2 linked regions of the Daphnia pulex genome follow. The protein of the gene in region 1 binds, or shares a complex with, the protein of each later gene. Links are inferred from orthologs where the notes say so. Each region holds a gene or a part of one and is shown in the gene's direction. Other genes may lie near its edges.

What was found.
Region 2: the proteins of protein unc-45 homolog B-like (region 1) and heat shock protein 83 are in contact, whole or in part, in a crystal structure (PDB 4I2Z), measured with the Caenorhabditis elegans proteins. The link is inferred for Daphnia pulex from reciprocal best matches to the Caenorhabditis elegans genes unc-45 and hsp-90. Residues at the interface, in NP_497205.1 of Caenorhabditis elegans: Arg12, Asn16, Val19, Tyr31, Val48, Arg51, Asn52, Met55, Lys59, Val81, Lys82, Phe85, Arg86, Asn113, Asp114, Ile117; in NP_506626.1 of Caenorhabditis elegans: Ser696, Arg697, Met698, Glu699, Glu700, Val701, Asp702.

What each region holds. Positions count from the first base shown.
Region 1 is NC_060022.1:4,923,969-4,928,516, forward strand, and holds the start of protein unc-45 homolog B-like, read left to right. Parts: upstream 1-1,637; 5' UTR 1,638-1,984; intron 1,985-2,058; 5' UTR 2,059-2,070; coding exon 2,071-2,457; intron 2,458-2,519; coding exon 2,520-2,649; intron 2,650-2,722; coding exon 2,723-2,853; intron 2,854-2,918; coding exon 2,919-3,087; intron 3,088-3,151; coding exon 3,152-3,310; intron 3,311-3,373; coding exon 3,374-3,551; intron 3,552-3,617; coding exon 3,618-3,780; intron 3,781-3,838; coding exon 3,839-3,958; intron 3,959-4,028; coding exon 4,029-4,138; intron 4,139-4,202; coding exon 4,203-4,344; intron 4,345-4,443; coding exon 4,444-4,548.
Region 2 is NC_060026.1:16,238,800-16,243,121, forward strand, and holds the start of heat shock protein 83, read left to right. Parts: upstream 1-1,231; 5' UTR 1,232-1,744; intron 1,745-1,883; coding exon 1,884-2,146; intron 2,147-2,210; coding exon 2,211-2,502; intron 2,503-2,570; coding exon 2,571-3,200; intron 3,201-3,267; coding exon 3,268-4,239; 3' UTR 4,240-4,322. UniProt on the Caenorhabditis elegans protein: Molecular chaperone that promotes the maturation, structural maintenance and proper regulation of specific target proteins involved for instance in cell cycle control and signal transduction. Undergoes a functional cycle that is linked to its ATPase activity.

The sequences.
Region 1 (4,548 bases):
TAGTCATTCTCAAGCCTTAATAATACAAAACTCTATGTAGAGAAACGGAATGTTTACCAATTGTTGCGAGCTGGTAATGCGATGAAGAAGCCAATTGGTACAGCCATACAGGTAGTTCACAACAGTTGTTGACGTGTCGGTGATGCTCACCCAACTGATGCCTGTATCCTTTTCTCTCTCCTTTTATACGAATTTTTTTCTTACCCTCACCTCCTAAGCCTTGCGGGTATTTTACCTGCTTGATAATGATGAAACACGTGTCGTTCTCACCCAACCTCTACACCACTGCATGACATGTTCTACCTGGCCTTTCCTTTTGCAGGTTGACGTCGCTGGGGATGGGTATACAACAAACAAAATCAAAATGAATACCAAATGGTTATAACACATCCCGTTGTCTCCCAACCTCTACACCACATTGACACGTTTTACCTGGCCTTTCCTTTTGCAGGTTGACGTCGCTGGGGGATGGGTCTACAACAAACAAAATCAAAATGAATACCAAATGGTTAGTCACGTCCCGTTCTCACCCAACCTCTACACCACATGACACGTTTTACGTAATGATCTCCGTGACCTTCGAGTGTGAAGGACAGGCCAACTGGTCTTTCCTTCTACAGGTTGACGATGGTGGGGATGGATCTACAACAACCAATATAAAAATGAATACCAAATGGTTATGGCTTAAAATTCACATTGACATTTGAGTCATTTGACTCGTGTCTTCGATAAATGAATAAATCTTCCATTTCGAACCGTTTGAAGGACAGTCGGACTTTTAAAAAATATTCCACTGCAACCTTATTTGTTTCAAACACATGATCAATCCATATTCAATATTAATTCATCAATCCATGATGTGTGTGCCTTTGTGGTCCTTGTTATTAGAAACCTCTTTACTGTTTCTCAGTCGATAAGTTCTCAAAAGCTGCAAAAATGTTAATAAGGTATGTTGTTGCTGCAATGTTGTTAAGGTAATTTATCTGATTTTGGCAATGACACCAACGATGATTTCGTATCCTATGGTTCAATAACATTTTCGGGTAGGGTGAAGGAAAATTCGGAATAACCCCAACACCAACGATTCCAACAAAGAAGCTGAAAATTTGAATATAGATATGGGAATTGGGAAAACGGTTTAACGAGATTGCATGTTTAGAGGACATAAATTCACATAACATTTCAAAGTCAAAGAATTAATATGTAATAGGATACATTCAGATATTTAATATTTCTTCCAGCTCGCACATGAAAATTTCAGTTCAAGCTTGGTTTTTAGTTCCCTTGATAACATCAACACAAATATTTAGAAATTACCGTTCAGTGAGACCTTCAGTTGAAATCTGGTGCTCTGTAGTACAAATAAATGTTGAAACATCCTCATGCAAAAATTGAGCATGACTGACTGCTGGTTCGAAGGAATCCATTCAGGCATATAATACAGCTCTTTTTATTTTTTAATAGCATATCTTTAAATGAATGAAATCATAGTCTTATTTCGGTGACAAATGAATTCTAAGGAAGATGTAGCATGTAGCCACAGCCAGATAAGGGTTGTTAACTTGTTATAATCATTTAGGCCTACATACAGATTTTCACACTCTTCAGTATTCAGTTTAACAGTGTTGGTTTTGGAGTTGTTCGTCACTTCGTCTGCTCTGCTTTCAGATTTTTCCGATTCTATAAGCAGAGCCATCTGCCCTTGCTACAAGAAATCAAGGAATTAAAACTATATACCGTAGCAGACGATTCAAGAATTTGACAGCGGATTATTTGGGTGTGTGTTTTTTAACAAACCGTAAATAGAATGGTAAATTTAGAATCTCCCCCTTCTTGAACATTCGAGCCTGTTCTTCGCTTCTGAAAAAGATTTAAAAAAAAACATCGAAGTTTTTACATAGTCTTTTTCCACGAGTTCGTTTAGTATTATCTTGCGCGCCACACAGAAAACACAAAAATTGCTACAAGTAAAATTGAAACTACGGTAAGCAGATGTGCTAGGTTTACTCGTGGATCGCATGTGCTCTTGTATTTAAGAATCTTTTCTGTTTTAAACAGGAGTCTAGGAAAATGACAAATGATAATCCAACAATTCGGCTGAAAGAGGCTGGAAATCAAGCATTTGCAGAAGGAGATTGGGACAAGGCCTTATCATGCTATACTCAAGCACTTCATTTAATTGAACTTGACACTCCAGAGAAAGCTGTCCTCCTCAAAAACAAAGCAGCAGTTTACTTGAAAGTGTCTGACTATGAAGCTGCCATCAAAGATTGCACCACATCTTTGGAAATTTCTCCAGATGATCCCAAAGCCCTTTTTCGTAGATGCCAGGCATATGAAGCCTTAGAAAAATATGAAGAGGCTTACAAAGATGCCAGACAAGTCCACAACTTAGATAAAAAGAATAAAGCCATTGCTCCTATTTTGAAAAGGCTCCATGATATTGTACAAGACAGGGTATGTTCCAATCAAATATTTTTATTCATTTGGTTATTAAAGAAACACTTGTATCCTTCTAGATGGCAAAATTTGCTCAGACAACCACAAAAGTGTCTCAAATGATGGAAATTGCCTTTGATTTTTCTTCGACTGTTGAAAAACGGGAAACTGCTACTTCAAATATTTTAGTTCTTGCCAAAGAATCTGCCGGTATGTGTTATTTGAATGGTCATTTCCAGTGATGCAATTTTTTCTATAAGCTTGCACTAATTTTTCCGAAAAGGTGCCGAATTGCTGGTCAAGGAAGGAATCTTTGAGAAAATTAATTCTTTGTTGAAGAAAGAAACGACGCCAAGTATTGTAGTGACTTGCATCCGCATCATCAGTGCATTGTGCAAAGGGAATCTGCCTCGAGTAATTTAAATTTTCACGTTCCCCTATGGGTTTTCTCCTTTTACTATTTATTTTGTTTTGTATAGGCCAAAATGATTCTCCAGCTTTTGGGAGTCCCTTGGCTTCTTGATCAACTGAATTCAAATAATGACGATCAAGTCAGTGCAGCTCAGTATTGTGTCCAAACAGTGATCAACACTATTTCGGGCTTGGATTTGAAAGACGATAAACAACCCAATAAGGAATTGTGTGAAGGTATTTTCGTTTTTCGTTTGTTTGTTTGCTTCTTTGTTTTTAATTTAATTTTTTGGAAATGCAGCGCACCGCAAGGAAATTGATACGATTTTAACTTGTTTGATTTACTGCTCCACCAGTCGAACCATCACTGGCAAATGCCGAGATGCTGTTCTCGAATTGATGATGAGGAATTGCGAATACCGCGCCCTGGATTGGGCCGAACGCCTCGTTGATATTAATGGTAATGCTATAAATTGAAAATGTAGTTAGTAAATCGATGACTCATGATCTTTTTACTCAATAGGCTTACAGCGAATGATGCAAATCGCCAGTGAATTGGAGGAAATGAAGTACGAATCGTCCATGGAAATTACGGAAAATACCCGCACCATCATCTCCTGTGCCTTGGGGAAAGTCTATGACAACATGTACTACGACTTAATTAAAGAACGTTTCAGTGCAAAGATTGAAGATTTTATCCAGTAAGTTATTTTCTCTTTGAATAAAAATCACAAGCTTGATTCCACCGTCTGATTTTTTGTAAACAGCGAACAATTGCAAACTCCTGGGATGGATAGCAAAGTTCGAGTGGTGGTGGCAGTGACGACACTTCTTCTGGGACCTCTAGATGTTGGTAGTTCCATTATTGGCAAAGAAGGTGTCTTGGAAATGATCCTCGTCATGGCAAACAGTGGTGAATTCCTCATGCAGGTGAGAAACCTTTTTCATAACTGATTTCTTTATCCGAGAGTTTACCGTCTTTTTTTAGCGTGTCTCTTGTGAGGCTTTGATCGCCGCCGCTTCTAAAAAAGATAAAGCCTCTGCCATCTTGGCTCAAGGCGTTACCATTCTCAAGAAACTCTATCAAATCGGCAACGACAACATCAAGGTGCGTATTTCAGTAGAAAACCGCAATAAATGAATGGATTGAATCACCTCGATTCAATTTGAAAATTTAGGTGAGAGCTTTGGTAGGTCTCTGCAAATTGGGAAGTTGCGGAGGCACCGATTCGTCGTGGAAGCCGTTCACCGACGGATCCACCATGAAGTTGGCCGAAGCTTGTCGAAGGTGAGTTTCCTCCACTTTGTCTGTAAGAGAATTCAAAGTGAATTGAATGTTATCCATTTTGTAGATTTTTGATTAACCCAGCCAAGGACAAAGACATGCGTAAGTGGGCTATTGAAGGCCTCTCCTACTTGACATTAGACGCTGAGGTTAAGGAGAAACTCATTGAGGATCGTGAAGCTCTTCAATCGCTAATTGAAGTGGCCAAGGTATGAGGGGGACGGAAAGAGACCCAGAATTTTTACATTCCTAATAATTTGAATGAAATAAAATTACATTTGCTAATCGTTATTTGGTAAATTTTACAGTCTGGAGACATTTCCGTTATTTACGGAGTCGTTTCCACATTGGTGAACCTCTGCAATGCATACGATAAACAAGAAATCATCCCAGAGATGTTGGAATTGGCGAAA
Region 2 (4,322 bases), on another chromosome or scaffold:
CAGAAAATGTTTTCCTCTGAACAAAACTTGCAAACAATCTTGCAGGTTTTCTCATTTAATTTTTTCCGATATCTGTTAATTTAGAAATCGATTAATTGATCGTTTGCTAACATCATCAAAGCCTTTTATTTAAAACAATTAATTATATTGTGTTGAAACGTTCATAGATATTTCATGGTTCGTGCATTGTGCGCACTGGTAGTTCTGACACCTGTCACTACTCACCTGTGATAAAAATAATTAAACCAGATGGTTTGAGTTTGACTGCTGGAAGTCCATCTTGCACCACACAGCCTACCATCATCTTAAAATCGTCACACCCTTTGCGACTCATAATTACTACATAAAGTTCATTTACGATTAAAATGTTGGGAGTTGGTTAATGGCAATAAATAACAACAATTGGAGGTCAATTACGCAACGTTGATATGACACACCTTCATTCCTTGATCTCTACAAGGGAATTGGGTTCGGCAACCTAGGCCATTGACATAGAGGAAACCCAACAGAGGAACTCGGTGTGTGTAAACCTGTGTCTAATGCCGCACTGCAGCATTCGACGTTGGGGCCTAAATTCAAGGAAAATATCTGTTTCGATATAAATACGAACAAGTTTCCTGGAAGCCTGGAAGGAAAGAATGATAATTTCTTAGTCAAAATCTCGTTATGAGTCACACGCCATAGGTGAAATTCAGTAAAAACCTTAATGTGAATTCCACAAGATAAAATTGCTCTTGGAGAACTCAATGTCAAGCTTCTGTTTACTTCAAGGCTTTAAAGGGCATTCCTATCTGTCACCTGAATTAAATTGTTTTGCCTGAAGCTGAAGAATTAAAAAAAAAATCTTCTTTATTTTTTTTCTGTACAAAATTTATAACAACAAGAATTTTGTTGTACAGGTTTACAAACTTTATAACTCGTTGTAATCTTATCGACTGAGTGAACAAAAGATTTCTGAAGAAGAAAAACCACGTGGGGTTTACCAGACGTGAGGCTTTCTAGACGTTTCTCGAATCTCGACTCGCTATTACAAAGGCAAAAGGTGAACTATGATTTCACCGTTTCTTACAAGCAAGAATGCATTATTTACGAAAAAAGCAATAATGCAGAAAAAACTGAAACATTTCATTACATGATATTATTAGTCAAAATTAGTAAGCATGTGTCAACTGGTTGGTAATATGATAATCCCAGACCAACTCATACAAACAGATGCATTAGACAGCAGATGGGACTTGAATTGACGGTTAAAAACGGTTACGAACACCGAATCAACGATCCGTCAAAACACATGGTCGGTAGACTCGGTGTCGATTTTTTGGAAAACATTTTAAATAATTCAAAAAATATCAGTAGCCACTCAAAATTCAAATTCCACCAATACTTGAGAAATATACAGAATTTGTGTGAATTTAAAAATTAAAAATAAGGTAAATTGAATGAGTTTGTGTGTAATTGTTTGAAAGCGGCAACACCAAGACTTCCTTCGGTAAGGAACATTCTCGATTTTTCGAGAGAATTCGAACCCCCTCCTCCCCTATGGTTTGTTCTAGTAGCTTCCACTACTACAACGTTGGATTCCCCGGGTCCCTCTTTGATATAAGGCCTCCCTCGTGTTCGACTCTTCACAGTCTTCAACCGGCGATTGAGCGAAAAACATCGCATCTCCACACGGGAAAAACTCTCCACGAGACCATTCTTGCAAACAATCTTGTGTTCTTGTTTAATTATCTTCTAAAGCAAAGTAAGTTTAAAAAATAATTGCTCATTTACTCATTTTTTGATATGCCGCTAGTACAAAAATATTTTGAATTTGAATTATTGAGTCTAATGTACCACGATTGACAAACGTTTCTAACTTAAATATATTTGTCTGTGTTTAGATGCCTGAAGAAGTTCAAATGGAAGCCGAAGCCGAGACTTTCGCATTCCAGGCCGAGATTGCTCAGCTTATGAGCTTGATCATCAACACCTTCTACTCAAACAAAGAAATCTTCTTGCGTGAGTTGATCTCCAACTCCTCAGATGCCCTAGACAAGATCCGTTATGAATCCCTGACTGACCCTAGCAAGTTGGACAGCGGCAAGGATCTTGAAATCAAGATTGTCCCCAACAAGAATGACCGTACCCTCACTCTCAGTGATACGTAAGTTTAGAAGTCAAGTTTTTCTGATTAGAGCAATTATTTAACTGTACTGTGTCTTCTTTAGTGGTATCGGCATGACCAAGGCTGATTTGGTTAACAACTTGGGTACCATTGCCAAGTCTGGAACCAAAGCTTTCATGGAAGCCCTCTCTGCCGGAGCTGACATCTCCATGATTGGCCAGTTTGGTGTGGGTTTCTACTCTGCATACCTGGTTGCCGACAAGGTGACAGTTCACTCCAAGCACAATGATGATGAGCAGTACGTTTGGGAATCGTCAGCTGGTGGTTCTTTCACCATCAAGCCTGATCACGGAGAACCCATGGGTAGAGGAACCAAGATTGTCCTCCACTTGAAGGTATGTTTCTTTGTCTTCGCTGGCTTAATTTCCTGTATGCTAATATTTGTTTTTTCTTTAATTTGCAGGAAGATCAAATGGATTACCTGGAGGAGAAGAAAGTCAAGGAGGTTGTCAAGAAGCACTCGCAGTTCATTGGCTACCCAATCAAGCTTTTGGTCGAGAAGGAGCGCGACAAGGAAGTGAGCGACGATGAGGCTGAGGAGGAAGAAAAGAAGGACGAGAATGAGGAGAAACCAAAGGTCGAAGATGTTGGTGAGGATGAAGAAGCCGACAAGGAAACAGACAAGAAGAAGAAGAAGACCATCAAGGAGAAATACTCTGTCGATGAGGAGCTCAACAAAACCAAGCCCATCTGGACTCGCAATCCCGATGACATCAGCCAGGAAGAATATGGAGAGTTCTACAAGTCATTGACCAATGACTGGGAGGATCATCTTGCTGTCAAGCATTTCTCCATTGAAGGCCAGCTTGAGTTCCGCGCTCTCCTCTTCGTCCCACGTCGTGCACCTTTCGATCTGTTTGAGAACCGCAAACAGAAGAACCACATCAAGTTGTACGTCCGCCGTGTCTTCATCATGGACAACTGCGAGGAGCTCATCCCCGAGTACCTCAACTTCATGAAGGGAGTCGTCGACTCTGAGGATCTTCCCCTCAACATTTCTCGTGAAATGCTCCAACAAAACAAGATCTTGAAGGTAATTTATTCTATTTCTTTTGTCAACATCGTTAACTGAAACTAATTATTACTTTTCTCTACTTCAGGTCATTCGCAAGAACTTGGTCAAGAAATGCATGGAACTTTTCGAGGAGTTGGCCGAGGACAAGGAGAACTTCAAGAAATTCTACGAACAATTCAGCAAGAACTTGAAGTTGGGAGTTCATGAAGATTCTACCAACCGTAAGAAGATCGCTGACCTCATCCGTTACCACACTTCCGCCTCTGGAGAGGACCAGGTTTCCTTCAAGGAATACGTTTCCCGCATGAAGGAGAACCAGAAGCACATTTACTACATCACTGGCGAGAACAGAGATCAAGTCAGCAACTCTTCCTTCGTCGAGCTTGTCAAGAAGCGCGGATTGGAGGTCATCTTCATGACTGAGCCCATTGATGAATACGTCGTCCAGCAGCTCAAGGAATACGATGGCAAGCAGCTCGTCTCCGTCACCAAGGAGGGTCTGGAACTCCCCGAAGATGATGAAGAAACCAAGAAACGCGAGAGCGACAAGGCCAAATTCGAAGGTCTCTGCAAAATCATGAAGGACATCTTGGACAAGAAGGTCGAGAAGGTCGTCATTTCCAACCGTTTGGTCGAGTCTCCCTGCTGTATCGTCACCTCCCAGTACGGCTGGACAGCCAACATGGAGCGTATCATGAAGGCCCAGGCTTTGAGGGATACCTCCACCATGGGTTATATGGCCGCCAAGAAGCACCTGGAAATAAACCCCGATCACCCCATCATCGAAGCCCTTCGCGTCAAAGCAGAGGCTGACAAGAACGACAAAGCCGTCAAGGATTTGGTCATGTTGCTGTTTGAAACCTCTCTGCTGTCATCTGGTTTCTCCCTGGAAGAGCCCGCCGTCCACGCTTCTCGCATCTACCGCATGATCAAATTGGGTTTGGGCATTGATGAAGATGATGTCCCTGCCGGTGGTGAAGAAGCTAAAGCCGAAGAAGAGATGCCGCCATTGGAGAATGATGAAGAAGATGCTTCTCGCATGGAAGAAGTCGATTAAACGTGTCAATTCCTGTTATCAAAAAACACAACTCAGTTTCTCTCAATTGTATTTGTTCTTAATTCAGCGTTTTTGCGAACTGG